4 linked regions of the Caenorhabditis elegans genome follow. The protein of the gene in region 1 purifies or fractionates together with the protein of each later gene. This does not show direct contact. Each region holds a gene or a part of one and is shown in the gene's direction. Other genes may lie near its edges. The genes, in order: gly-8, ttr-15, clec-137 and rab-5.

Region 1 (8,517 bases):
AGCGATCGATCGAGGCGATTTTCGGCTTTTTCGAGCGACGACGAAATGACGATAATGAAATGTGCACGGGAGATGATGCTTGCTCGAGTTTAAGACGTTATTTGGAAATGGAATTACATCCACATGGACCATTACTTGAGCCACCTGAAATTCGGTGTAGAATGATTAAAATGTTTGAGAAACATTGGGCCAAATATCGATATGTATTCAGAGATCTACATTCTTATATGGTTCAAGATTTTTTTTATTGAAAAAACTGAAAAATTACAAATTTTTTTTAAACCATAAACTCCTAAAAAATTACCTACAAAATTGTCAATTTTCAAAAAAAATTTTTGTCAGATATTATTTTTTTTGTTTGATTTTTTATATTCAAGAAAAACGTTTTAAAAAACCTAAAACAAAAAAAATTTTTTAATGAAAATTTTCATTTTTTTTTAAATCATAAACTCCTGTATTTTTTTTACATACAAAAAATTGTATTCGAAATTTTGAAATTTTAATTTTTCTTTTAATTATAAAAAAAAACGTTTAAAAAAACGATTTTTAAATTTTTAAAAATCTTCATTTCTGTTCAACAAAAACAAGGTGTTTTTAAATAAAGTAATTTTTAAAAAATTCGAAAAATTTTTTTTTGGAAAAATTTTTTTTTTTTTGGAAAATCAAAAATAATTTTTTTTCGGGTAATTTTTCAGGAATTTATGATTTTTGAAAAAAAAAAGTAAAAATTCAATTGTTTTAAATTTTAAATCATTTTTGAAATTTTTTGAAATTTTCCTGAAAAAACGTACTTTTTTTTTTGAAAACTAGATATTATTGTCATTTTTTGAGAAATTTATGATTTTTTAAAATTAAATTTTTTTTTTTTAATAAAAATTGAAACAATTGAATTTTTGTGTTACAAGAAAAAAATTCATGGAATTCAGGCTCAAAAAAATATTGTGAAAAATAAAAAAATTCAAGAAAAAAAAATCCAATTTTCAAAAAATTTTTGCAGTTCTCCGATGCGCTGGGCCTGCCTCCAAAATACATTCGACAACGTTTCGAGCATTTCAAGGAACGAAAGAATCAACAGCAGAAAAAGCAACAAGAAGAAGCCGACAGAGCATTCCGAGAACGTCACAAGCCACCGAAACCACACAAACCAAAACCCAAATCGCAATATTCGAAATTCGAAGATGAAACAATGGAAAAAGCATATATGAGAACTGTGAAAATGAATCCATCTTCATATGAATCCAGGGATCTTCTCGAGTCGATTTCCATTAGTTTACGAATGTCATTGATTAAAGTTCACGAATGGTTTAATAATAGGAAGTTTGTCGACTCTGTAAGCATCCTTTTTTCTGGAAAATATTTGGGGTTTTCTCCGAAAATTGCAATATTTTCAGCGGAAAAAAACTCAATAAAAAAATCCAGTTGAATTTTTCTAAATTTTTTTATTTTTGCGAAACCTCGCTCAAACCCAAAAATTTTCCTAAAAATCGAAAATTTAACATTAATTAAAGTTTAGTTATAATGAATTTTCCGAAAATTGTTTGAATATTTGACAAAATTAGCCCAAAAACGCGTATTACGGGGACACAAAATTTTGAGAATGCGTACTGCACAAAATATTTGACGCGCAAAATATCTCGTAGCGAAAAGTGCAATAATCCTTTAAATGACTACTGTAGCGTCGAAATGAATTGAGCAAAGAGCGAAGAAACGAATTAAACAATTAAAAACCCGTAAATCGACACAGGCGCTACAGTAGTCATTTGAAGGGTTACTGTAGTTTTCGCTACGAGATATTTTGCGCGTCAAATATGTTGTGTAATACGCATTCTCAGAATTTTTGAGTTTCCGTAATTGTTTCGAACTTTTTAAACAATGTTTTCCGGCGAAATCAATCAGTTTTTTCTCCGTTTCATAACCTGAACCATTTTTTTTCGCATTTTTTCCAAAAAAAAAAAACATTTTTCCGATTGATTTTTATCGATTTTTAGGCCAGGTTTATACTTTCAGCGAATTTTCTCAAAAATGTCTTCCAAAAAATAAAGAAGCAAAAATCCCTTTTAATATAGCCGGAAAACGCGGGAATTCAAAAATTATCGAGTTTTTGAAAATACCTTTTTTAACTGTTTGAGGCGATTTGACCAAAATGCATTATTTTACGGTTTAATAATAATACTGATTTTAAAACAAATTTGCTCGTAAAATACGGTGTTTGCACTATTCTTCGGGATCACATGAATGCACCATATTTTACGTGCAAATTAGTTTTGAATATTAATAAAAAAAATATTAGTTTTAAGTTGTAAAATCGCCTCAAATATTTAAAAATCAATGAAAAATATGTATTTTACAGGATTTTTTGAAGAAAAAAAACATCCAAATTCCACATCTAATACATCAGATTTCACCGGAACAATTTTGCAGATAATAGATCAAACGTGGAGAACATTTTCTGTAAACGACGAAAAACGGCTCCATTCGACATTTCTTCAAAATCCGCAACCAACAGATGAGCAATATTGTTATTTGGCGAAAGAACTACGTGCTCCAGTGAAAGAAGTGATGAATTGGTTCAAATTGAAACAAATGAACGAGGAACGCGAGGAAGAAGCGCTGAAATTCGAATATAAGCTTGATGCGCTCACACAGGAAAGCATCGATTTGTTCACGACAATTGTTGATGGAACTACTGTAGTCTCGGTCGCCAAGCGACGATTGGTCAGTACTGAGGGTCTCTCGCAAACGAACTCCCAGTTTTCCCGCCAAAATTGTTTTTCTCTGGAAATTTGAATTTCCCGGCAAAATAATATTTTTTTTTCTCTAAAAATTTGAATTTCCCGCCAAAATGTTTTCATCTCAAAAAATTTGAATTTTCCGGCAAAATAATTTTTTTTTCTCAAAAAATTTGAACTTTCCGGCAAAATCGTATTTTTTCTTTAAAAAAAAGTTGAATTCCCCGCCCGCCAAAAGTTGTTTATCAGAAAATTTTAAATCCCCGCCAAAATTATTTTTCTCAGAAAATTTGAATTTCCCGCTAAAAAAATTTTTCTCTGAAAATTTAAATTTCCCGCCAAATTTTTTTTTCAAAAAAAAATTTGAATTTCCCGCCAAAAAAAAGTTTCCTCAAAAAATTCGAATTTCCCGGCAAAATTTGTTTTTATCAGGAAATTTGAATTCCCCGCCAAAAAAAATTCTTCTCAGAATTTTTGAATTTCCCGCCAAAAATGTTATGAAAAAAATTTAAATTTCCCGCCAAAATTTGTATTTCGAAAAATTCGGTTTTACCGCCAAAAATTGTTCTCTGAAAATTTTAATTTCCCGCCAATTTTTTTTTCAGAATTTTTGAATTTAAAAAATCTATATTTTATCGATTTTTCGAAATTTTTCCCTCAAAAAATTTCTTCAAATCTTAGTTTTCAGCTAGCACTAGAGCTTGACGTTCCATACGAAACACTCGGTCGATGGATCTTCTACTACCGAAATCGCGAGGAAAAAAGCCGGAAATCTCCGAAACTCGAGGATGATGATGATCCACCGCCGAGGCTGGCGAAAATGCCAAGGCTTGAGATGAATGTTAGTGAAAACCTGAAAATTTCAGATTCTAGAAAAAAAATTGATTTTTTTTCAGGAGCCCGACAACGAAGAAGATATCAAACTGGAACCATTGGATTCTTGACACAATTTTTTTTGGCAATTTTTTTGAATTTTTAAAAAAAATTTCTACCGCTCTAGTTTTGTTATTTAATGGGTTTTTGATTAAATAAATGACAACCAATATATTTTCCAACAGAACAGAGAAAAGATAAACATCTCCTGAACACTCCAAAAAAGGGGTACAAGGTTAGTATCGGGAACACCGTTTGAGGCCTTGGCCTCAATTTATAGGAAATTGGCTTTTTATTTTGTTTTTTTATTAAGAAAAAATTTCAAAAATCATTTTGAAATGTAAGAGTTTGCCAGAATTAGGCCATTTTGACTCGGCCGGGGTTGATTTACGGCGCGTTGCGTGTCGCGTCGCGGCTCGATTTTAGTCCGTGTGGAGTACACGACTTTCCCACGCGTTGTCTCCGGCAGGCGATTGTCAATGGAGCGCGAAAAATGCAATGAGGAAAGCCAGGAGCCCATGATGCTACGTGACAAAAAAATTGGAAGAATTAGATTTTTTAGCTATTATAGTATGTAAGAAGCCTGCCCTAAAATCAGTTGCGCGTAAAATCTGATGCAGGGGGGTCGGCGAGCCGCACCGAAAACGATTACATCAGATTTGACGCGTAAATTCTTAGAGTTTCAAAGTTTTTAATTTATATATCGATTACAAAAAACACAAAAATGGTGAATTTTTTTTTTCGAATAAAATGGCCCAAAACCTCAAAGAACAAGTTTGCGCGTAGAAATTGATTTGTTCTCTGCAAACACCGACCACAGTGCATCAGATTTGACGCGCAACATTTTAAATTTCCAGGTGCCACTTGGCTTTTCTTCTGTATTTCGCCCGAAAATTCTGCAAATTAGCAGTTTGGGTGATTTTAGAGCACAAATTATGATATTTCTATTTTATAAAAAATCTCATAAACTCCAACTACACTCAATGCATCATATTTGACGCGCAAACTCAAAAAATATTATAATTTTTTGTTGGATTTGGATAGTCTTCTTGAGATTTTCCACTGGAAAATAGCTGAAAGTTAACTTTTGTTTAAATTATATAAATGGGGCAAATTTTCTTCTCGAACCTTCTCCACTAATGAATTGGTTAATAACCACATCTATATAGACGACAACAGAGTACAAAACCTAAGAGACGCAGAGAAAAAGTGGCGGAATATAAGATGGACCAGTTTTTGTAGGTGAGACATAGAAGACATCTCCGAAAATGCGGAGAAGGTGTGTATAAAAGAAGAAGTCTGTCCGAAACGATTTCTTGTTTTCCATCCCAATTTTTCTTTACTTTTTCATTCAAAAAGAAGACGGAAGTCTTCTGATTGATTGCATGTTTTACCCTTAAATTTTAAGATAAAATTTACAGAATGCGACGCCACGTCGTCCTATCGATTTTTGTTTTTGCCGGAATAGTATTTGCGGCGGAAGAAGCAGAGAAGCTTCCAAAGTGCGAACACGTGGACCCTTATGAGAAGTTGGTTGGCTTTAAAGATATGTATCTCTATATTTCATTAGCTTTTGAAGATATCAAAAAGTTGTTAATTAAAAAAAAATGTTAAGCACAAATTTATCCATATTTTGGTACTTGAGAATTTTTTGGTAGCTAATCCAGTTAAGAAGTTATACGCGCTTAAAGTTTTGAAACAAACTGATAACTTTAAAATCGTGTAACTCCGCGGGAAAAAATGTTTTACTAATTGACAAATTTTTATGACCTTCTATAATTAATAGGTTATCACTCATAAATTTAAAATTTCCAGTTTGGAAGGCTGGTTGGACCTGAAGCCTCTCACCGAGAGAAAATGCAATCACACTTTAAAAGAGAACCTTACTGAAGCTGTAAGTCTACTTCAAAATATTAGTTATTTGTCTAACTCATCAAATATTTTTCCAGGAATCCAAGAAATCCGAATGGGGAATTAAGAGCTTTGCTTTTGATGCTCTATCTTCGGAGAAGCTGGGACCGAATAGAAATGTTGGAAAGCAGGCGCATAAATTGTGAGTCAATAAATTTTCATATTGAAATTTTGATGAGAACTCCAAAAAATCTTGTAATTTCAAAATTCCTTTTTTTGTTAGAAATTCTACGCGTTTTACTGGAATAGAGGGGATTCTTTACGATTTCAGAAATTTCCTGATAGATTTTAAATATTCGTTTTCGATTTATGTTTTCAGAGAATTTGATTAAAACAAGTTCTTAAAACAACACATCTTGAAATCTGAGACTAAGTCTCAGCCTAAGAATAAGCCTAACCTTAACCCTAACCCTAAGCCCAAGCCTAAGCTTAAGCCTAAAACTAAGCCCAAGACTAAGCCTACGCATAAGCCTAAGCCTACGCCTAAGCCTAAGCCTAAGCCTAAGAATAAACACAAGCATAAGCCTAAGCCTTAGCCTAAGCGTAAGCCAAGTTCTAAGCCTTAGCATAAACCTATGCCTAAGCCTAAACCTAAGCCTAATCCTAAGCCTAAGCCTGACCTAAGCCTGAACCTAAGTATCACCCAAAAAAGAGAACTTTTCAGATGCGAAGAAGAAAAGTACGATGCCAGTTATTCCACATCAGTGGTGGTAATTCATCACAACGAGGCTCTCTCTACGATCCTTCGAATGATCAACGGAATCATCGAATTTACTCCAAAATCGCTTCTCAAAGAAATTGTGCTCTATGAGGACGCTTCTGAGGAGGATCACGTGCTCACTAAGCATTTGGAAAAGTTCGCGAAGATTAAGGGACTCGAGGATAAGCTGATCATTAAGAGAAGCGAGTATAGACAGGTGAACATTTGAATATCCGGTAAAAAATGTTCCCAGAAAATTTGAACCTTCCGTGTATTGCAAAATCCAAATTTCAGGGTCTTATCCGAGCAAAGGTTCATGCTTCAAGATTAGCTACCGGTGAGGTTATTGTGTTCATGGACTCCCATTGCGAGGTGGCCGAGAGATGGTTGGAGCCACTGCTACAGCCGATTAAAGAGGATCCAAAGAGGTTTTTTCTTGCAAAATGTTACTGGAAAACCAAAAAAAAATTTCAGCATCGTCCTGCCAGTCGTCGACCTGATCAATCCAGTTTCCTTCGACTATTCTCCATCGATGGTTGCCAAGAGTGGATTCGACTGGGGATTCACGTTCAAATGGATCTATCTTCCATGGGAATACTTTGAGACGCCCGAGAATAATGTGAAGCCTTTCAAGTAGGAATATGGTGCATTAGTAATAGGGAATACGGGTTATTTTTCAGCTCCCCAGCCATGCCAGGAGGTCTTCTGGCGATGAGGAAAGAGTATTTCGTTGAGTTGGGAGAATATGATATGGGAATGGAGATTTGGGGATCCGAGAATATTGAGCTCTCGTTGAAGGTGAGTCATGCGCCTTTAAACTATGTGGAGGCGAGGTTGCGCCCGACATATCGCGGGCTTTTTTGGAAACCAGAAATTGTCGGACGTGTGCGACACCTAGCGGCTCTCAACAGAGCTTAGTGGCGGAACTCATAATTTGTCGGCTGTTGGACAAGCGCGACACCTAGCGACTCTCAACATAGCTTAGTGGCGGAACTCTTAATTTGTCGGCTGCTGCGGCTGGTGCGACAACTAGCGGTTTATGGGCCGCGGTGGAACCCAGAAATCGTCGGCTGCACTTCTTTGTTGTTCAATTTTTTCAGGGTCAGAGTTAAATACAAAAATTGGTAAATGATTTGGAAGACGCATTTCTTGAAAAAATTTTTTGTATAAAATAGTGTTTATCCTTTTCCGACGTTTTTTTCCGAAAAAGAGAAGAAAACATAGCCCGACACCTTCCGGGGACCCCCGCTCACATGGCGTAACTCATAATTTGTCGGCCGCAGGCAAAATACGCGCGCCCGACATTTAACCGGTTTCCGCCACTGCCAATTACTCAGCGCGCCCGACACTTCCAGAGTTTCGCCACTCGAGCCCGTCACTTGTCGGCCGCTAATAAAATCACCCATTTTCCAGGCTTGGCTCTGCGGCGGACGTGTCGTAGTTGCTCCTTGCTCACGTGTCGGCCACGTGTTCAGAATGCGCCGCCCGTACACCTCAAAGCCAGGAATGGATACCGCTTTGTACAACGCGGTCAGAGTTGCCAAAACGTGGCTCGGCGAGTATGAGGTTTGTGGTTTTTTGTCATGAAAATGAAAAAACGCCAATTTTTAGTCCAAATTCTTCGCTGTAAAGCCACGTGGCGCAAAGATGGTGTTCGGAGATTTGACAGAGCCAATGCAAGTGAAGGATCGTCTCAAGTGCAAAGATATGAAATGGTTTATTGAGAATGTTTATCCAGAACTTGAGCCAAAAGTTCATGATGAACTATAATTAGTTAACGTATTTTAATAAATATTTTGAGTTTTTTTAAAATTTTTATTTTCAAAAGTCAGTATCAAAATCAGAAGCAAAATCAACAACCAGGAAAGAGGAAATAAGAATCACATAGAAATAAACCCATTCAAATGTTTAAAGGCACATTAATAAATTGTACAAATCTGATGACGTCATCATCTCAAACTCGCTGACTCTTCATCGGGCTCTGAAATGGGGTTGTCGAGTTGCTGGGGCTCCCGCTGCTCAGCTCTTTATACTGGTATCGTTGATTGTATTTGCCATAGAAGAAGCCGGCGGTACAGCCTGGAAAATGGTACTACTTAAGAATTTATTGATGCACCATGCCTTGAAAAATTGTTTACGAAAATTTGTTCGAAATTTCAGATAAAAAATTTTGCGGGAATTCAAATTTTCTCAGCAAAACTTTGACGGAAAATTCCAATTTTCTGAGAAAATTTTCGGTGGGAAGTTCAAATTATCTGAGAAAAATTTAGTGGGAAATTCAAATTTTTTGACAAAAATTTTGGC
Region 2 (7,397 bases), 1.3 Mb from region 1:
GAATCGGATTCGCAGTTTTGCCGTTCGATTTCACCGCTTTTGTGGATTTCATCCGTAGCTGGAACTTACCATGCGCGGTGACCGCTGTCTTCAAGTACATCATTGCTTTCCCCATCATTTTCCATACTCTTAACGGAATTCGCTTCTTAGGATTCGATTTGGCTAAGGGAGTCAATAATGTTGGACAGGTAGGAGTTGAAATTATTAATTTAATTGTTTTAAAATAAAAATTAATTTTCAGATCTACAAATCGGGATATCTCGTATCTGGACTTTCGGCTATTCTTGCTCTCGCCATTGTCTTCAACTCTTGCCAGAACAAGAGCAACAAGACTGCCTAGGCACAGATGCTCCGCCTTCTTTTTTCTTACTCCGCCCCAGCCCTCGACAATTCTCGTCAATTTACTTTTACCGTTGATTTCTTCGATTTTCTCTCTTTTCCGTAGATTTACCTCTCCTCTTCGTTTTTTTTTCTCTGTCTAGAATGTATATTATGATTATGAAAACGAATAAAAATTTTAGATGACACGCTGCACGGCGGACAACTCGCTGACGAATCCGGCGTATCGGCGACGAACGATGGCGACTGGCGAGATGAAGGAGTTTCTGGGGATAAAAGGCACAGAGCCCACCGATTTTGGAATCAATAGTGATGCTCAGGACTTGCCATCACCGAGTAGGCAGGCTTCGACGCGAAGAATGTCCATCGGAGAGTCAATTGATGGAAAAATCAATGATTGGGAAGAGCCAAGGCTTGATATCGAGGGATTTGTGGTAATTTTTTAATTTTTTTTTGTAAATAAAATTTCCTGCTGCTTCCAGGTCGACTATTTCACGCACCGAATCCGGCAAAACGGAATGGAATGGTTTGGAGCACCGGGATTGCCGTGTGGAGTGCAACCGGAGCACGAAATGATGCGAGTTATGGGAACGATATTCGAGAAGAAGCACGCGGAAAATTTTGAGACCTTCTGTGAGCAGCTGCTCGCAGTGCCCAGAATCTCATTTTCACTGTATCAGGATGTGGTTCGGACGGTTGGAAATGCACAGACAGATCAATGTCCAATGTCTTATGGACGTTTGGTAAGGGAGAAAATACTGAAAAAAAGTTTGCAAAAATTCGAAAATTCGCCAGAAAGGTGGCAGAAAAAACATTTGCAAAAATTGTTTGTTTTCCTTCAGGAAATCAGCAAAACTTGGTCAAAAATAGCCCAATTATGTGTCTTTTTTGAAAGTTTTCCATTAAAAAACCACGAATTTTGATCCCGGATTGTAATTTTTTTTGTTGATAAATTAGCAGAAAACTTTACGAATTCGATTAAAAACGTTATTTTCTATTCGAATATTTTTAAAGCATATTTTCCTTGATTTGTATTTGCGAAAAAGATCTGCTGATTTATCAAAAATCGGTTTTTAAATGTAAAATTTGTGGAAAATACATTAAAATTCGATTTTTGAACTTTTTTCTTCGAAAAACAGGTTTTTCTGCTGATTTGCTGAACGAAAAACCCCAAAAATTCAATTTTCGAACATTAAAAACCAGAAAAATCGTTTTTTTAAGCTTAATTTTCCGCCAGAAATGAACGAATTAAATTGCAAATTTCTAATTTTCAGATAGGTCTAATCTCGTTCGGCGGTTTCGTAGCTGCAAAAATGATGGAATCCGTGGAACTGCAGGGACAAGTGCGAAACCTCTTCGTTTACACATCGCTGTTCATCAAAACGCGGATCCGCAACAACTGGAAGGAACACAATCGGAGCTGGGTAAGGAGTATTTGCATAGACATTAGAAGTCAATATCCCCCTTTCCCTAGTACCCTTGACTTCCCGGGGTGTTGGTAAGCCGATAATTACAGGGTTCGGTAGCCTCTTGGGGGGACAGCTGGAAACATATTCAAGTATATTACTGTTTATGATAATGTTATTGTTACGGGAATACAAAATTCGCAGAATGCGTATTTCACAACATATTTGACGCGCAAAATATCCAGTAGAGAAAACTACAGTAATTCTTTAAATTTTTAAAATTTTTACAATTAAAGAAAATAACCACTAATCAAAAGAAATTAATTTCAAAAATCGAGCCCGTAAATCGACTACAGTAGGCATTTAAAGAATTACTGTAGTTTTCGCTACGAGATATTTCCGCCTCAAATATGTTGTGAAATACGCATTCACGGATTTTTGTGTTCCCCGGAATATGCTCTAAAGCATTATTTGTGAAAATAAAAAATCAAGAAAAAAATTGCAGGACGACTTCATGACACTCGGAAAACAAATGAAAGAGGACTACGAACGAGCAGAAGCTGAAAAAGTGGGACGCCGGAAGCAGAACAGACGGTGGTCGATGATTGGCGCTGGAGTAACAGCTGGAGCCATTGGAATCGTTGGAGTCGTCGTGTGTGGGCGGATGATGTTCAGCTTGAAGTAACGTATTCAATTTGTGTAAATAATTAATTTATGTACAACTCCTTACATTTGAATCTCATTTTTGCTCACTGATTCTCTCATCCTTTGAACTGGAAGAAGTGGGAAAGCTAGGCCACAAATTACGGCTCTCTGTGTCGATTTACGATTTTACTGCAATTTTTTCCGATTGCCTTTTTTTTTGGCCAAACCCTACTTCCGCGTAATATCAACTTTTCCGTGTTCTGTACATTTCGTCAAAAACCCTGAAACCCTAACTTTTCTCGCCGTGGCCTAGCCTCCCGCTTCTCTTCCACATTTCCAAAGTACCCCTGTATCTCAATAATTCATCTTCACTTTAACTGTCTCTTTTCGTGTGGCCTCTTCCAACTCCCCCCAAATTCCTGTACGCGTACGCGACTTTGTATTTATTTTTTTCAAATTGTTTTCTCTCTACAACAACAAAAAAAACGGTTCTTTTATTCAACCCTTTTTTCGGAACGAAACTGCAATTTTGATAATAGGCGTGCGCAAGAGAATCCGGTTTTCATTTTCGCCATCACGTCATCCAAAAAAGTTTAGTAGGAAAATATCATTTTTTAATATAATGATTCATCTTTCTCGCCTCTTCTGTCTCGAGACGACGGTCAATTCGATGGCCTTGAATTTTTCGAAACAAAAATGTTTTTGTTTAGTGTAAACGATCCCCCCGCCTTATCGCTGTTTCACCATCAGATAGGCTCCGCCCATTTTGATTCCCTTGAATTTTGTCGGTATATAAAACAAAAAACGTTAGTGCACGATTCAAAAAACAACAATGCGTGCTTTACTATTCACCTCTGTTGTTCTTTTGGCTTTGGCTTTTGTTGAGGCAAAGAAGCAGACTATCACTGTCAAGGGTACAACTATTTGTAATAAGAAGAGAATTCAGGCGGAGGTTACCCTTTGGGAGAAAGATACTCGTGAGTTTTCAGTCTTGTTTAGCTTGAAACGGCTTAAAAAGGACTAAAAAGGCCTAAAAATTGAAGTTTTCCACCTGTTTTCAAAAGAAAGCCGAATTGCACAGCTTTACACGAGATTTCTCAATAATTTGTATTTGAAATTTTCATATTCATCCCCAAACGTTCTTTACACGAAATTTTGCGATTTTTGAGCTTAAAATACGATACCTGGTCTCGACACGAAACATTTTTGTTAAATTCAAAAAGATGTGCGCCTTTAAAGAGTGCTGTAGTTTGAAACTTCTGTTGTTGCGGACTTTTCATCGATTTTTCGTAGCGTTTTTTTATAAGAAAAATGTATTTATTTATTCAAAAATTTAATTTTACCGAATCGCGAAAAACAAAATGAAGAACACCGATAAAAATATCGCAGCAACAATAGTTTGAAATTACAGTACTCTTTTAAGGCGCACACATTTCCATATTTCACACAAACTTGTCGTGTCGAGACCGGGTATCGTCATTTTGATGCAGAAATCAAGAAAATTGCATATATGTTCAAAAAACCACAATTATGGCGAATTTCAAGCTTGAAACGAAAATTCAGGAAATTCTAAAAATTAAAAAAAAATCATTCGAAATGTGAAATTTGATATTCAACTTGAATGCCATATGGCAAATTTCTGTCTATTCCGCTTTTCGATCATTTTGTTCCACGTGGCCGCGAAAAGAGAAAGCACGACCACTGATTTCTGGCAATTTTTTCCTGTACCGTGTCAATTATTTGAAACTCTAATAAGCTGGTATTTTTCTGCTATTGACAACTAACTGAATCCATAATTTGCAATTATAATATTGACTTTTGATGTGTGGCTTAGAAAAAAAAAACCAAAAACCTCATCTAGCTTTAGGCTGCCAATATATTCCTAGGACATATAAAAAACCCTTAAAATTCTCTGCAACACCTACAAGCTATCAAACGTACTATTAGTATTCAATTTTCCAGTCGACCCCGATGACAAGCTCGCCTCAATGCAATCGAACAAAGAAGGAGAGTTCTCACTTACCGGATCCGACGACGAGATCACCTCAATCTCTCCATACCTCATAATCACCCACAACTGCAACGTGAAGAAGGCCGGATGCAAGCGTGTTTCAGAGTATTTGATTCCAAAGGAGAAGATCGGTGGAACCTATGATATGACATACGTCACTCTTGATATTCTTTCCGCTAAAGACAAGGAGAAGTGCTAAGAAAATGTTTTTTTTGTTTGTTTGCTTGTTTGGAAGGGAAGGACTTTCTATCTCTTTTAATTCAACAATAAACTATTGGAAAACCTTGAAATTTTAACCTTGAACTGTAAGAAAAGTTGCGTGATTATGTTGACAATTTTGCCAAGTATATCTTTGTGGATATCACAATAAACGAAGTCAAAGCACGAAATATTACGGAAACACAAAATTAATGAGAATGCGCAACATATTTGACCGCAAAATATCTCGTAGCGAAAACTACAGTAATTCTTCAAAAGACTACTGTAGCGCTTGTGTCGATTTACGAGCTCGATTTTTGAAATGAATCAGACTAGAAGAAAAGGAGGAAAATATTGAACATCAATTGAACATCAATTCAAAAAGTCGAACCCTTGACTACAGTAGTCTTCTAAAGAATTACTGTAGTTTTCGCTACGAGATATTTTGCGCGTCAAATATGTTGCGCAATACGCATCCTCAGAATTGTGTGTTCTCGTAATGTCTTGAAAATTTTCCATTTCAACATCAAATAAGCAAATCTAAAAATGTGGGTTCTGCAGCGACCACTATGACTGTGATCGTGGCAAGACCCACTCAGAAAACTACGTGTTCCTTTAAACAATACATTTTTAAGTATTGTAGGTATAAAAATTGTTGGCTAGCAGTCTAGGCTGCCTTTTTCAGTCGACAAACTTCTAATTTAATCGGCGGGTCTTCAAAAAGTCGTTTCTTTGAAAATATAAAGCTTTATATATTTATATATTAAAAATTTTGATTACATGATATCAAAAGCGACCAGTTTGCATAAAAATTATCAACCAACAATATCAATATCTTCTTCTACCTCCTGATCCTCCTCCTTCACAATGCTCAGCTCACTGCTCGAGCTGGAAGGAGTCGACGGGAGAGGCGAGAGAAATGGAAAAGCGAATGGAAATTGGACTGGAAGATTTTCAGATAACATATGGGGAAAATAAAAAAGAAATGGGTTGATTGGAGGCATCGACTGAAGAGGTGCGACCTCCGGTGGTGATCTGGATTTTGGCGATGGGGACTGTGAGTTGCTGCCGTCGGAATATGATGGTGATCTTCTCTTGCGACTCAAGTTCCCGTCACGGAAACCTTTGGCAAAACTGTTGTGCTTGATTTTCAAGTCGGTGATTTTTTGGTTCTGAAATGAGGAAAAATTAGGTTTATTATTCAACTCTCTCTATCTTTGAAAACAAAGAATCTATTAAGAAATTGTTAAACACCATATTATGGATCACAAAGCGAGCAATATTTTTGTAGTTGACAACTTTTATATAGCTCTTTTTATTGGCGAGGTAGGAGTGCTTAAAGTAGCGCAGTTTCAAATTTATAAATAGAGCCAAATTTTGAGCAAGTGTAACTCTCCTTCTTTTAACTCTATTAAAAACTTGTCAACTAACTAATTAATCTTTACAACTAGGGTTACAAATTATTAGTTAACGACTTCTTGATAAGTATGATGGTTGACAAGACTTCCCCCTTCCTTCCCAGATTTCCCATTGTTCACAAAATATTGATTCTTCCGAGATAAGATCCATGCGCTAATACTCTTACTCTCAATACTAACCTGGTAAGCCGTTACTGCAATAAACTCGGTATGAGGGAATTTGGCGGTGGCGACGATTTGGTTTGAGGATTGTGGGACGCAGAAAGGGCTCTCCGATGGAGACTCGTAGATTGTCAGCACTGGAATGTACTTGTGCATGCTGTTGAGGTAAATCTGAAATTTCAATTTTAAATTGGAAATTGCCAAGTAATTTTAAAGTTGAAATCCTACCATTGAAGCGTTGTTGGACTCTGAATAGTTGGAGATTTTCACACGATCAAAGCAAATCGAACTCCACATCCAGTCACTGAAATTAATTGGGGTTACTTTGAAGATATAAATTTAGCAAATTTAGAATTATTTTCATCTGAATTATGTTGTCAGTTGACAAACGACAAACTTTGAAAACTTTAATGTTAGATGAGATGTAACCCTCAAAATATTCCAAAGGCATTTGAATGCCAGTGTCGGCAGCTCTAACTCTTCAATGGCTCAAGCTAGAAAAAAGTTGTCAACTGGCAAATTGTAGATGATAAATCAGTTAACAATTTTCCAGTTAACATCTTTTTTAAAACTTCCAAGCCCGCTGAGATATGGCGCTTTGAAGTTGTAATACCAGGGCGGAGCTAAAAAAAGTTGCCAATTGACAAAATGGTTCTCACTATTTTGATAATCATGTCAGTTTACAAATCTTCATAGCTTCTAATCTTCCAATTCCTATGTCACACTCACCTTCCCTTCCGAACTCCATCAGCATGCCACATCTTCTTCGCGTCGACCTGCTTCTCAGCTTTGCCCGTTTCCTGCCACTTTCCACCGCTGAACTTGAATCGACTTTCTCCAACTGGTTGTAATTGGAGCATTATTGCATACAGCTTGTTTTCATCAAGCCCTTCGACTATATATTCCAACTTTGGGAACAACTTTCGGCCGTTCTTCGTGACAATCATCTCGTTGACTTCTGCGTGGAATATCTTCCAGAGAGTTTCTTGGGATCCTTCGATTGATACTTTGACTTTGGACATTTTTTGTCTGAAAACGTTAAAATATATTATGAAAACGAACAGCAAAAAAAAAGTTGGAAAATGGTATAAGATATAATGTTATATTCTCACCGGTTTGGCAGCTACACTTGCTTAGAGTGTGGTACCAGTGAGAAGGAGGAGCGGGAAAACTATTCTAACTTAAAAACGGTGGTATCTAGCAAAAAGTTGTTAACTA
Region 3 (6,504 bases), on another chromosome or scaffold:
TTTGACTAGTTTTTCAGTAGGTAATTTAAGAAAAAACTGTAACAATCAAGGTTTATTCCCGTCCAAATTCAAAAGTTCAACGATTATCATGCAACATGGCCTTGTCCAAAAACTATGGTTTTTTTTATAATTTGTACTCAATGTATGTGTCATCAAGAGACAGTGTCTACTTTCCTTCCTTCAGATGGCCCGTCTCAAGATGATGTGAAGACTAAAAGTCAACCTCCCCTATATAGATCAAATTGTCTTCACTCGACATCTTTATTTCTCGACGACGATGAGAAGTGTTTTTCTGATTCTTATTGTTGCCTTATGCGGCGTTGTTGAAGCATCTAATGCAACAGAGAAAGAAGTTGTATGTCCGAAAGGATTCAAGTTGTATGAGAGGAAGCCGACGCAGAGGAATAAGTTCACGAAGAACTGGTGTATGAAGGTGGATTAAAGGAAATAATTTTTCAAAAGTTTAGTGGTTTATCGCGATCCCAAATTTCTGCCCGCTACTGAATTTAGAAATGAGACAAACTTAATTTTCAAATTAATTTTAATTTTTCAGGTAATAGAAAACGAGGATGTCTATGATCGACCTATCGCAAGATCAGTTTGCCTAGATTATGACGCAGTTATTACGAATGTCGAGAACCAAGAGGAGCTGGATGATATCAATGGTAAGTAGCTGCTCAATAAATAAGAGTATTGTTAATTAGAAAAATTATATGTAAAGTCCAACGGAACAATTTCCAGTTGACTAATATTTGCCTACAAGGTGACAGGCGCCTGCCTTTTGCATGCCCACTTACCTACTTTTCAATTGGCAGTTTAAATCTAATAGAAGGGTTTCGGTTGTGACGAAAATTTTTTTGTAGACATGCTGTTTTTCTACGTGGAATTTTTTCTAAATTTTACTGAAACTAAATACTTCAAATGACAAAAAAAGAAGACAGTAAGTAGGCCTGTAGGCAGACAAGTAGAATAGGGCCTACCCGCCCTTCTCGTCTCTTATTAAAAATACGATCGGCGTGATGCCATTTTACAAATTCTCGCAAGCTGAACAAACACCTGGAGGCAGCGATTAGCATTCGTACTATTTTGGAAAGCGAATTTTCTGGTTTTTTGAAAAATTTGGAAAATGTGAAAAAATAGAGCCGGCGGCTAAAACTTTTCTGAAAGTTATGTATTTACTAACATGCTTAAAGCCAATCACTGTTATCATTTATCAAACAAATTATGTAAATGCAACGTCATTGTTATTGAATGTAAATGCTAAAAGGCACAACAAAGCCGACAGAAACTGACAAACAACTTTTAGGCAAGTTAAAACTGAACACAAATTTCAGCTTTAATTCGAAAAAACAATAAACGAGTCGCAGTGGACGGAGTGTTCAATCCAAAATGCCGAGGTTTCAGCGACTGGCGAATGAGAAAGTTTGGAGGACTTTGCGCAAAAGAAAAAGAGGTTTTTGTTTCGAAAAGTGTGTTTCAAGTATCCCGATCGTTTTAGCTATTTATTCTGGAGGACGATCACACCGATCCAGCGTTCATTCTCACAAAGTGGTCTGGAGAACCGCCAACTTCATCAGACAAGTATCAGGAGAAGGGGGACTCTACGTAAGGAACCCAGTGGGATAAAAGCTTCATGTTCTAGTTTTCAGAGAAATTTTCACAATCGCTGAATGTCTATCTCTACATAATCTCCAGGCAATCAAGAATACTGGAAATTTGAAGGATTTTTTGTGAGTTTTTTTTTTGCAGGATTTTCAAACCCAAAACTAAAAAAATTTCAGGTGCGGCGAAGAACCAGACAAACAAGTCGGCGAGGTGCCATTCTTCGGAGTTCTGTGTGGATGTGCTCCAGTATAAAATTATTTAACTAGTGCCAAATGTATAAACAATTTTTGAATTTTTTGAAGATTTTTCAGAGAAATCTGTCCTCGAGGCACAATATAAATTGTTCTTACAATGTATGCCTAGTTTGAAAATGTATATCATGACTCGATTTTTTTTGTGTTATAAAAAATTTTCCCTCTAGAAAAAGTTGAAAAATAGGTAGAAAAATAAAATGCGTCATTTCCGCCCAGCCCCCGAGATACCGTATCATTTTGATGTATTCGGGGAATAATGGTTCCGCAGAAACGGAATCATTGAAGGGATGTACAGCTTTTTTATAGCTTTTGACTAGTACAAAAGCATACTGAAAGCTTCTTCTTGAACTCTTCATAACATGTTAGTTTTATTCTTACTATTCTTGGTTGTTCCGGCGGTTTCTGCAAAGGATCCAAGATGCCCAAAAAACTTTACTTTTGTCAAAAGAACACTAACTTTTAAGAATAATTTTACAAAGGGGTGGTGCTTGGGGGTACGTTATTGATAGAGACAGTACCCAGTTTTAAAATACACTTTCAAGATTTTCAATGGAACGGATGTGGGAAATCGTGACCGAGCCCGCTCAGTCTGTCTCTATCATAACGCTTCGCTGAGCAATCCAGAAAATTCACATGAACTTGAGATTGTTTCTGGTAAGTTGATCATGTTTTTTTTTAAAGACATGTCTTCAATTCAAAATCGCTAGGAAAAATATGCTTCTAAATGTGTAATTAATTTTTAGACGTTATTCGCGCACGGAACATTTCCCTCCCGATTGCACTCGACGGACAACTCTCTCCAAGATGCAAGGCCCTTATTTTCAGAGGCGAACAGAGCCAACAATATTTTGACCAAAGAACAGAGGAAGGAGATTGCAATATTAACAATCATTTGTTTGTATATGATGATATCAATACAGATACTTTATTTATCCGTTCCAAACTAGGTACTTCGGCTGGAACTAATGGAGGATACTCCAGTCAGGAGGACGGAGTAAAGTAAGTGTATGAAAATTTCTAGATTCAACGTCAAACAAGTCTAGAATTCAATTTACAGATTTCGTTTCACCAGAGATTGTAACGCATTAACAGATGCATACTATTACTTTTCTAATGGAACACATTTCTATGCGGTAGATGGACGAACTGAATTGCTCGGATGCTTTGGGGAAAAGGATAAGCAAAATAAACACGAATATAGTAGTGTTCTTTGTGGAAGATTCCCTCTCTGAGTTAATTGATCAGAAAAGACAGTTGTTAATAAATATTTTGGAGTTGTTGTTCGAATTCATCACTTGTGATTATATCAGAAAATACCAATTTTGCAACAAACATCAGTCGAGGATATGCATAATTTTCATAATAAGTATTTTTTGATAGCTAAAGATTGGAGCTAATCATATTTCAAAATTTACAGAGACAGGACTATTTTAAAAGTAAACTACCCTGTAACAAATCAAGAGTTTCGAAGCTTGAAATCAAAAAAAAACTTATTCTTGTAAATCATTTTATATTCTACCTCGGAAGCCGACAAAAGCTTGGTTTTAAAAAATCTAGCTTCAAAGTCTTGTTTTCAACCACAAATGTTTGTGTACATAAATTTTTGGATAGGTATCATAACAAGCAAGAGGGCCTTATGTTAGTCATAGGCTTGCACTCAGTTGCTCAATTTTGACGGCTAATAACTAGGTTGTGTTTTGTTTTACCAAAAATTATAAGCTGACAAAGAATGTGTTACAAATTTCTCTACAGTTTTGGTGTTAAATGTTTTTGATAAAAGGGCTGAAAATGAGGGTACTTTTGTTAGAATCTTTATTAGATCAGATATTTTTTTGTTTCAAAGCGCATGGTTTCAATATTCTTGACAACTTCTATCAACCTACGTGTTATATAAGAATTTCTTTGAATGAAATCATCCAACCTGATGAAGAAATATAATGCGTCGTTTCCGCTATCCAGCCCCGAGATACAGTATCATTTTGATGTATTCGGGGAATAATGGCTCCGCAGAATCGGAAACGCTACAGGGGGCGAACAACTGTTTTATAGCTTTTGACTAGTACAAAAGCATGCTGAAAGCCTTCTATGAAGTTCAGTATAAAATGTTAGTTCTATTCCTACTATTTTTGGCAGTCCCAGAATTTTCTGCGAAGGATCCAAGATGCCCGGGAAACTTTACGTATTTCAAGAGAACACCGACGGCAAAAAATAACTTTACAAAGGGATGGTGCTTGGGGGTAAGTTGTTCATATCAATGACACCTAAATAGTTTTAAAATGATATTTCAAGATTTTCAATGAAACGGATCTGGGAAATCGCGACCGAGCCCGTTCAGTATGTATCTATTACAATGCGTCGTTGAGTATTCCAGAAAATTCACACGAACTCGAAGTGATTTCTAGTAAGTTTTTGAGGATTTTTTTATTGCTGCATGCGGAAAAATGTAAAATTTCCAGAGACTGCTAGCTTGAGAAACATTTCCGTACCAATCGCTCTTGATGGACAACTCTCTCCAAGATGCAAATTCGCAATTTACAAAGGACAAGTAAAGGGTGCAAAACGATTTAATCAAACTTCTGAAGAAGGAATTTGCAATATTAAATATGAATTGTTCATATATGATGATATTAATACGGATACTTCATTCATTCGCACAAAGCTAGGTGTTTCGGCAGGATCAAACGTAAGAAGTGTACAAGCTGATGATGATATCGAGTAAGTTTTGAAAATCGACTTTCCTATTTGCATCCAACATTTCATTTTCAGGTATCGCAGTACAGCAGATTGTACCGTTTTGGAAAAAGGATCGTATCACTATTCTAATGGAACACTAAAAGATGGGCACACTAATTTGATGGATTGTATGGGACAGCTAGCTGGCTCCAAGAGGCTACCAGAAAAAAATGTCACCGCCGTTCTTTGTGGCCGATTGCCGTTCTAAGTAAATGTATTCTATCATTTCTGGAAAGATTAATTTTCAATATTTAATAAATATTATATTTCCGAAATCTTTCTGATATTTCTTATTACCTTAGCTGATTGAAAAGATAAGGTACACCCAATTTGTTTCCGCAAGTGAACTTCAGGTTATTCTTAGGCGACGAAAATCCCTGTGCGGGTTTACAATTAAATCATTTTCGCAACGAAACATTTCCTTTTACAGAGTTTTGACAAGTGTGTATACCATTTTTGTAAACTAAAAGTCAATTAATTCATCTTAACTTTCGTCTCGAACTTTTCGTTTTTAAGTTCCATCTTGTTGATAATACGGCCTAAAAATTGTAAAAAATTTCTCAAAGCTTCCTATTTTCTGTGTCAAGAAAAATCGGAGAGCTCTACATTATCTCTTTTTTGGCTTCCGGAAAACTTTTAGAGTAAATTTATAATGTATAATTTATGATAAACCTCAAGAAAATAGGTACAACAAGCATCTGCTACGTCCAAATCAAAATGTTTAGAAGAATAAATACTACGGTAGAGCATTTTGTGGGTGTTGTTGAACATCACGCTTTTGTTGAAACGATCAAATGCTGTCGGAAAATAATGGCTCCGCATGGCTTAGTCACAATTTTATCGATTTCAATAGGTACAAAACCCCGCCGAAACTTTTCAAAACTGACAGAAAAATGTTCGTTTTCTTTTTGCTATTTTTGACTGCGGTTTTCGCAAAGGATCCACAATGCCCAGAAGGGTTTTCTCATGTCAAGAGAGTCCCAACTGCAAGGAACAATCATACAAAGGACTGGTGTTTGGGCGTAAGTTCCAAGTTTTGGGTTTTGTGTTCATAATGCTTTATGACCATATTTCAGGTTTTCCAATTCAAGAACATGGGAAACCGAGACCGAGCTCGATCATTTTGCAGTTATGTGAACGCTTCATTGACCATTCCAGAAAATGAGCACGAGATTCAAGTGTTTTCTGGTAGGGATATTTTTCAATAAAAACATTTTCAGTGTTGTAATCTTCAAAAACTTTCAGAAATCGCCCGAGCTCATGGAATTGAAGCTCCTTATGCTGTTGACGGTCAAATTTCTCCAAAATGCAACGGTCGTATTAATAAAGTCGAAATCATACTTCGTCATCGATTCAACAGTACAGAAGAAAAAGGAGATTGTAATATCAAGAATAATCTATTTTTGTTCGATGATGTCAATAGTGACACTACATTCATGCTGAGCCATTACAAACGTCGACTTCCAGCTGCTTATATGGTTCATCAAGCTGACAATGGTCCAATGTAAATTAGACATAATTATCAAATAGCGTGAAATCATAAAAAATCAAATATTACAGATTCCGATTCGCCGCTGATTGCATTGTTCTAAAATCTGGAATTGTCAAGGCTAATGGCACAGAAACAAGAAAGAATTGGGGAAGTTTGGAGTTTTGTGTGGGAAAAAATGCAGTGCAGGCTTATACAGACGATGAAAAACCATATGGAAACGACGTGGAAGCAGTTTTGTGTGGAAGACATCCACTTTAATTGTTTTGAGAAACTTATAAGAAATGTGGGTCCTAGAAATGTGATGCACCTTGTCTTTAGTTTTGATTGAAAATTGTCAGCTGAAAAAATAAATTTCAATTTTTTCTATAGTTTTGTAACTTAGTATTAAAAAAATAACATTGAAATTCCCTACAAAACAGT
Region 4 (7,439 bases), on another chromosome or scaffold:
GTCTGATGGTCAATTAAACATTGAAAAACAATGTATTAAAAAGTCGCATGATACTTGTAGTATTTGGTATTCCACGTTTTAAATTGAAAATTTTGTTTTCTATAAGCATCAAGGCTGATAATCTATATTTAAACAATTTCGTAATTTTCAGTATGTGTATTAAGTGGATTATTAAAATTTATTTTCATACGGTTAGTACGGCGTATGCTGAGGACAGCTTCAAATTCATTTTAGTCAATCAGAAATATTGATCTTTATATGAATTAAAATGCGAGGAATTTACTAAAAAAAAAGAGGGCCACAAAAGGACGCATCAAACCTATAAAAATCAATATTTTTGAAATGTGTAAGATGGATTCGAAGGTTCACTATAAGACGTACTAACCGGATGAGAATAATTTTAACGATACTAAAAATTCCCACTCCTAGTAAGCATGAACAGTGGCAACCAGCTGAAATGATTTTTGAAATCAATTCAACCGACAGCAATTTCTATTCATTTTAAATAGATAAACGGTATTTTGGTACTTGTGTATTATTTCCCCTCATTTTAAAATAATAAATTTTAAAAAAAGTTTTTGTATTTTTGGCTTAGAAATTATGTACACAAGTACCGTATTTTTAGTGTGGGGGTACTGTGGGATTACTGTAATATTAATTTGAATACAGAATTTTCTCTGAAGTGAGACAAGGATAGTGTTTGGTTAGGGAAGAGGTACTGAAGGATTACTGTAGTTATTATTTTGTAAAATGTTCAACCGGTTTAGTGTTGTATTTTCTGTGAAATCTATCAATTAATCAGCATTGAAAGTCATTTAAAATTCTATTTCAACAGCGAGACGCAAGAAAAAAACATGATAAAGTCAATTCAATCAGACCGCAATTTTTATTCGATATTTTGAACAATGCCATTAATTAAAACCCGTAGCATTTAAGAATATATTCAAAAGTATATATATTTAACAGTAAAAAATTAAATTTTCTGATACAGATTATTCTCCCTGATAAAATTGATAACCTCATCTGGCGTCGAATATTTTATGGATTTTTTATTCATAATTGCGGCTCGAAGACGTGTTGAACTAACTCCACTGGGACACACTTCATCTTTCACTTGAATTATTCTATCACAAAATTCGGAAATTGCAGGCATTGATTGAATTGTGTTCAATGGATTCGATCCTTCCCGTGACAAAACTATTAATCCAAATTCTGTTATAATCGTTCGAATATCACTGGAATTCCAAAGATTTGATCCATCGGGAAGAATTCTTGTGAATGAATCTACTACGTCACCTCCGACGACTAACATCATACCGACGTCTGATCCAAATTTCTCCTGGAAATAAGAATTGATTAAGTTTTAGTTTTATTAAGGGGTTATGATTGGTGATAGCAGAATATTGATATTTTAAAAATATTTTTAAAAACTAAGTTTCTAAAAATGCTCAACTTTTGAAAATTTTCGCGATTTTTTGGTGTGTGAAACTTCCCAATTTTAATTCCCTTTCGGTTTTTTAAGTTTTCAGAAAAAAAAGGGCGAACCTGAACAAGTTCTCTATGATGTCTAAGAACATCAATTGTCCTTGTCCACGTGGTTCGAGTACATTCCCAGTCATCGGCTCGTATCCAATCAGAACTTTTTGTGGCGGCTCGAACCATTTGAATGCTGAATTAGAACATTTTTTATCAAGTCTTAAAAACTTTTTCTACCGAAAATTAGATTTTATAAGCGTTGGTTTATTGTTGTATGAATCAGCAACGGGACTCATTATTCCTTCAACAACTTGTGTATTAATCGTTTCGAGATGTGACCTGGCGACCTGAAAATTCATATATCATACATTTAATGTTTTTTTTATTTGATTACCTCAAGCATACGTAAATGTGCAATTGTTGGTGGATTGAACGACCCGACGGCAAGAAGAGCGACTCGTTTCATCGTTTTATCACAATATTTATTGAAACTGAAAAATATTTTGTTTTCTTCTGAGCTATTTAGAACGAAACGTTTTTGAAAAAATATGAAAAATATCGAGAGTGATCAGAAACGAAAAATTTTTTTTAAAAGTGTGTCAAAAAATGCAAGTCAGGTGGAAAATCAGGATACGTTTAGGAAATTTCTTATTTATTGAACCTTTTATTCACAAAATCGACAAATTTTTATGATTGGGAAATATTAAAATTAAGCATGAAACAAATTTAAAATGAGAATTTTAATGTGAAAACATTCTAATACAGTTTACTCTTAAAGGGACATGGCTCAAACAAAAAAAGTTGTCTCGCAACGACTCAGCTACAGTAGTCTCTTTTGAATTTTCTTGAATATTATTTGAGACCCGAAGAACTCGGGGGATGTCCAATTGGGGGGATTACCAACTCGGGGGATTGGCCCCGCCCACAGAACCGTGGCTTGCAATACGCCCATTTCTGCAACTGCCGCACGGTTTTAAAATTATTTTTTCTTGTTATTTCTCGCTCTATTGAGAAAAATACAGTTTTAAAACCGTGCGGCAGTTGCAGAAATAGGCGTATTGCAAGCCACGGTTCTGTAGGCGGGGCCAATCCCCGAGTTGGTAATCCCCCCAGTTGGACATCCCCCGAGTTCTTCGGGTCTCTATTATTTCACACTTTTTCCGCTTAATTTTGCGCGTTTTTTTTAAATTTAGCCAAAAATTACCGGAAAATAAAAGTTTTTCGAAATGAAAAATAATTTTCATCAAAAATGTAAAATTGGCCTAGCGCGAAAAAATATAAATTCGAAAGCGCGCGCACCGAAAAGCCTCCTCCCGTTTTCATCCATTTTTGTCTAACTGTCTGCGATGTCACACAAACATTGAATACTCAGTCAACTGCGCCCGTCACCACCCCAGAAGGTACGCAGCCAAATTGGCTACCCCCGACGAAGCCCGTGTGTGTCATCGATGTCTGTTGCGCAAATATTTCTTTTTTTTAGTTTTATTGATTTTCATATATCCTGCAATTTAATTCGTTCACTACTTTTGGATGCTTCCAGAAAACTAATTTTAATCTCAAACTTCATCAAAACTTGAGAAAAAAGTTTATCAATTAATCAAATTACACGTGATGAATAATATGCAGAGATAAGCAAACTGAATTGATGAAAATAGTGATCAAAACCCGTATTTCTTTATCGATTTCATCACAATTTCGTTCCTCGTGAGACACCCGTATGAATCAATAATACGCTTGTTTACCACTCTTCAGTCTCTCGCGTGCCTTCAATCTTTTTCGGAAATTGCTCATTTCAAATCAATTTTTCCACTTTTTAAGTACAAGGATTTTTAGAAATTTTTCTAGAAATTTCAGGGATTCAAAATTGTTTTATCAATGAGAATTGAGATATAGAATTTTAGTCGAACATTATTTTTTTTGTTCTTTCTGGAAAGAAAAATGCAACATTATTTCTCTTTGAAACCATTTTGATATTTTTTCAGCTGAATCCTCCCTCATATCGTTTCCTATGTGAAATTATGCTTATTTTTTGCTTGTAATTTATTCGATCGATTTTTAATGTAATAAATTCAACAAATTTGTATTTAGAAAATGGCCGCCCGAAACGCAGGAACCGCCCGGCCTGGAGGTCCAAACAGAACGTGCCAGTTCAAACTCGTTCTTCTCGGAGAAAGTGCTGTAGGTGAGTTGATACTGAAAATGGAAAAAACCGCTAAAGGTTGGAGTAGAAAATAAAAGCAAACAAGAACAGTTTTCCAAAAAATAAAGATTTTTTTATTCTACTCCGTTCTGTCTGTAGCATATTTCGCAGTTGCTGAAAACCGTCACAAAATTTCGAAATTGCGTTGATTTCGAAGTTTAATTCTTCGTCTTTTGATTGTTTATATGTTTAGAATTATGGGTCATCTGATAGTTGCTAGCATATGACGTATATGCTCTCTTATTTCACCTAAACATCACAGAAAACTATCATTTCAGGCAAATCATCTCTCGTATTGCGATTCGTCAAGGGACAATTTCACGAGTATCAGGAGTCGACTATAGGTGCTGCGTTCCTCACTCAAACTGTGAGTTTTTGAATTTTTTGTGAAAATATAACAATTTTCCCTAATTTGAACAAAAATTTTGACTAAAATGAAAAATCTCGAATTTTAATAATATATTGTTTTTTAATAATATAATTGCGGAGATTTTTGCTCGAAAAACACGGATTTTATATTGAAAGACGTAAAAACGTTAATAATTAAGAATTGAATTTTCGAAATTTCAGGTGTGCCTTGACGATGCAACAATTAAATTCGAAATCTGGGATACTGCAGGACAAGAAAGATATCATTCATTGGCACCAATGTACTATCGAGGAGCTCAAGCGGCTATTGTTGTCTACGATATTACCAATCAAGAATCTTTCCAAAAAGCGAAAAATTGGGTAAAAGAACTGCAGCGACAGGCATCTCCAAATATTGTGATGGCATTGGCTGGAAACAAGGCTGATGTTGCCAATAAGCGAACTGTTGAGTATGAAGAAGCTAATGCTTATGCTGAGGACAATGCTCTCTTGTTCATGGAGACATCTGCGAAGGTACATTAGAAAATTTGGATTTTGACAATAAAAACATGTTAACAGAGTACTGAAATAGATCAAAAACTAAAATTGTTATTAAAAATAACAATAAACTTTGTTTTCTGCGAAGATAGTTTTTGAACTAATCTCCATTAAAAAATGAATGAGAAATTTAAGATTTCCAATTTAAAATCAATTCTCTATTTATTTAATTACAGACCTCAATGAACGTGAACGATATTTTCATGGCAATAGCTAAAAAGTTGCCAATCGGACCAGCACAGGGTGAACCAACGGGAACTGTCGATATGAACCAACCACAACAGCAACAAAAGGGTTCATGCTGTAAATAAATTGACGACTTTTTCATGTACCATCAACCCTTCTAGCTCCGCTCCTCTTTTGTTCTATATATCTTTTGAATCCAACGCCTGTGATCGTCGTCATTGTTTTCCCCTCGAAAAAAAAACACTTTTGAACAAGTTTTTTGTGCTCGCTTTCTTTATTTATTTTCACTCTTTTAACCCATATTTTCTCATTTTTTGTATATTTCTGACTAATGTTCAGCCAGTGAATGAGCTTGCACAATTGGCTCTGCCCATTTGCTTTTTATATGCGAAAACTCCCATTTTTTCATTCAAATGTTCCAATTATTTATTGCTTCTCACCATCAACATCCAAGTCCCGAACCCCACCATCCCACTGTTAGTACTTTTCTCGTCAAAGTTTCACCACCTTTTTGTCAATTTTTTTTCAAAATTTTATAGCATCCTTTCAGAATCTATCCGAATAAATTGAAGTTCGAAAATGTATATACTTGGTAACACAAAACCCTTCGTATACGATCGATATTAGATATTGAATTCAATTTTCTGAAAAACAACAAGGTGAGAATTATTTGAAGAATACAAATGTCCGATCAACCTGGAACAAGTAGACCGCCTCTTCGAGCAGAACCAACGCCCACAAAAAGTAAATGCTTTTCAAATCAATTGAATTCAAAAGAAAGTTAAATTTAAAAATTAAATAAATTTACTTTAAAATATACAAAATCATCTGAGATTTTTTAATTTTTTTAAATTTTTACATTCATTTTTTAAATATGTATCTGATTTTTTTTTCGAAAAGCAATGAAAAAGTATGGAAAATTATTTGAAACTACAGTACTCTTTAAAGGCGCGCACCTTTTTATATTTAACAATAATTTGTCGTGTCGAGACCGGGTACCGTGCCTGTAGTGAAAAAACACAAAGAAAATAGTTCTGTAATTTTTGTCATCAATTTTAGCTTTTTAAATCAAACTTTCTAGTAGGAACTTTGAATTTTTAATTTTCAGCTGCAACACGTCGACGTGCCCGTCCAATTGCAATACCATCAGATGAAACTCCACGGAATGAGGTTACATTCCTAAGACCATCAGAAGTTCCACAAAGAAAACCACTTCCAGAATATCGAGAACCACAACCACGAAAAACGTAGTCACATTTAAAAAAATCATTCTTAATTTTTAAAACATTTTCAGAGTTCCAAAGAATGTTCCACTTGAAGATCTTCATAATTATCATCGGGAGGAGTGTCTAAACGTTAGCATTCCACATTTTATAAATACAGAAGATCTTATCAAAGAATCTCAACGTGTCAATGGTCTCATTTCATTTCGAAGCACAAATTTTGTGGATCCTTCTGTTATTTTGAAGGTTTTTATTTAAATTATTATTTATTTATTTGTTTTAGATTTTAACGAGAAAAAATCAGCCAAAAACGCATCTGGATATTTTTTTCAAAAATTATTTTAATGAGAAAAATATGAAACAAATATTTTTTAAAAGAGTATTGAGAAATGACCTAACATTTTTTTGCAAAAAAAATCAAACTGAAAATTGTTGCTCTCCAAAAATCAGAACCCACTTGAAGTCAGAAATATAAATATTTCTCCTAATTAAAATTATTTTTACAGGAAATAAAGAAAAAAGAAGAGGAAACTGTAACATTAATGGACAACGACAAAAATTCTATAATAGACATAGTTGGAGATGGAATAAACTACGAAAAATTGAAGAAAGTCGAGAAATCCCTCTGCCAGATTGATATTATCACCGAATTTATGAATAGAAGTCGACATTTACAAGGAAAAAAAGTCAACGGATGCATAATGAGAATCGACGTACGGTTTATGGTTTTTGGAAAATTTCAAAAAAAAAAATTCAAAATGGATTGACATTGCCTGACTTTTCCACCACAAGAAAATGTCAAATTTAAAATTATTTTTTCGGATTTTTTTGTAGAATAATAATAATAATTTTAAGTGATAAAATTACTAAATATCATAGTTTAAAGTTTCAAAAAAATTTTAATGCGATTTCTATTTTTTTTTTAATTTTTAAGAGTTCGGCTATGATATTTAATTTTTTTAGAATATTTTGAGAGTACTTATAAATTTATGCAAAATACCTCTAAAAATAACAAGAAACAGTAAACATTATATTTTTCGCAATAAACAGTTTTTTAGCCAAATCTGAGTCGACTTTCTGTTTTTAAAAAATTTGAGTAACTTTTCAGGAAACGAAACAATTATTATTTCATGTAATAATTGATGGACCTGTTGGAAGTATCTATGAAGGTGGAACATTTTTTGCCGATATTAACATCCAACCATATCAAAATCATTCATTGATTCCAAGAGTTTGTTTTCACACATTTATATTTCATCCGAATCTTGGGAAATATGGAAACGTAAGTTTAAAAACCTAATTTTGAAAACATTTAAATTTTTTGCAATTATTCAGTGGGACATGCGTGGAATTCAATGGGAACGACGATCCAATTTGGAAGTTTTATATAATTTTATTGTGGAAGGAATGCGAAATGTGAAATATGATATTGGTAAATTCTTTCTACA

What was found.
Region 2: the proteins of gly-8 (region 1) and ttr-15 fractionate together in Caenorhabditis elegans (co-fractionation; one large-scale study listed by BioGRID). This does not show direct contact.
Region 3: the proteins of gly-8 (region 1) and clec-137 fractionate together in Caenorhabditis elegans (co-fractionation; one large-scale study listed by BioGRID). This does not show direct contact.
Region 4: the proteins of gly-8 (region 1) and rab-5 fractionate together in Caenorhabditis elegans (co-fractionation; one large-scale study listed by BioGRID). This does not show direct contact.

What each region holds. Positions count from the first base shown.
Region 1 is NC_003281.10:11,620,219-11,628,735, forward strand, and holds gly-8 (putative N-acetylgalactosaminyltransferase 8), read left to right. Parts: upstream 1-5,023; 5' UTR 5,024-5,024; coding exon 5,025-5,131; intron 5,132-5,417; coding exon 5,418-5,496; intron 5,497-5,551; coding exon 5,552-5,655; intron 5,656-6,177; coding exon 6,178-6,430; intron 6,431-6,507; coding exon 6,508-6,641; intron 6,642-6,687; coding exon 6,688-6,846; intron 6,847-6,893; coding exon 6,894-7,011; intron 7,012-7,626; coding exon 7,627-7,779; intron 7,780-7,824; coding exon 7,825-7,983; 3' UTR 7,984-8,017; downstream 8,018-8,517. Other genes in the region: ceh-91 (Homeobox domain-containing protein), read left to right, coding at 1-230, 998-1,330, 2,422-2,715, 3,418-3,570, 3,626-3,673; Y66A7A.7 (IMV envelope protein), read right to left, coding at 8,168-8,292. UniProt on the Caenorhabditis elegans protein: Potential glycopeptide transferase involved in O-linked oligosaccharide biosynthesis. In contrast to other members of the family, it does not act as a peptide transferase that transfers GalNAc onto serine or threonine residue on peptides that have been tested.
Region 2 is NC_003281.10:10,334,651-10,342,047, forward strand, and holds ttr-15 (Transthyretin-like protein 15), read left to right. Parts: upstream 1-3,196; 5' UTR 3,197-3,222; coding exon 3,223-3,367; intron 3,368-4,352; coding exon 4,353-4,600; 3' UTR 4,601-4,790; downstream 4,791-7,397. Other genes in the region: mev-1 (Succinate dehydrogenase cytochrome b560 subunit, mitochondrial), read left to right, coding at 1-188, 242-340; Apoptosis regulator ced-9, read left to right, coding at 522-773, 822-1,082, 1,614-1,763, 2,251-2,430; T-box transcription factor tbx-9, read right to left, coding at 5,415-5,771, 6,198-6,350, 6,408-6,483, 6,909-7,201.
Region 3 is NC_003280.10:4,615,515-4,622,018, reverse strand, and holds clec-137 (C-type LECtin), read left to right. Parts: upstream 1-3,928; coding exon 3,929-4,096; intron 4,097-4,148; coding exon 4,149-4,260; intron 4,261-4,315; coding exon 4,316-4,574; intron 4,575-4,625; coding exon 4,626-4,800; 3' UTR 4,801-4,867; downstream 4,868-6,504. Other genes in the region: clec-139 (C-type lectin domain-containing protein), read left to right, coding at 278-433, 554-665, 1,335-1,453, 1,499-1,605, 1,650-1,730, 1,782-1,857; clec-138 (C-type LECtin), read left to right, coding at 2,219-2,353, 2,402-2,513, 2,603-2,858, 2,917-3,091; clec-136 (C-type lectin domain-containing protein), read left to right, coding at 5,486-5,614, 5,669-5,780, 5,838-6,096, 6,153-6,342.
Region 4 is NC_003279.8:9,304,878-9,312,316, forward strand, and holds rab-5 (small monomeric GTPase), read left to right. Parts: upstream 1-3,564; 5' UTR 3,565-3,567; coding exon 3,568-3,658; intron 3,659-3,954; coding exon 3,955-4,043; intron 4,044-4,246; coding exon 4,247-4,558; intron 4,559-4,758; coding exon 4,759-4,893; 3' UTR 4,894-5,344; downstream 5,345-7,439. Other genes in the region: nmat-2 (Nicotinamide/nicotinic acid mononucleotide adenylyltransferase 2), read right to left, coding at 974-1,339, 1,546-1,669, 1,714-1,823, 1,871-1,942; uev-3 (Ubiquitin-conjugating enzyme E2 variant 3), read left to right, coding at 5,452-5,512, 5,877-6,015, 6,063-6,237, 6,498-6,704, 7,100-7,273, 7,327-7,423.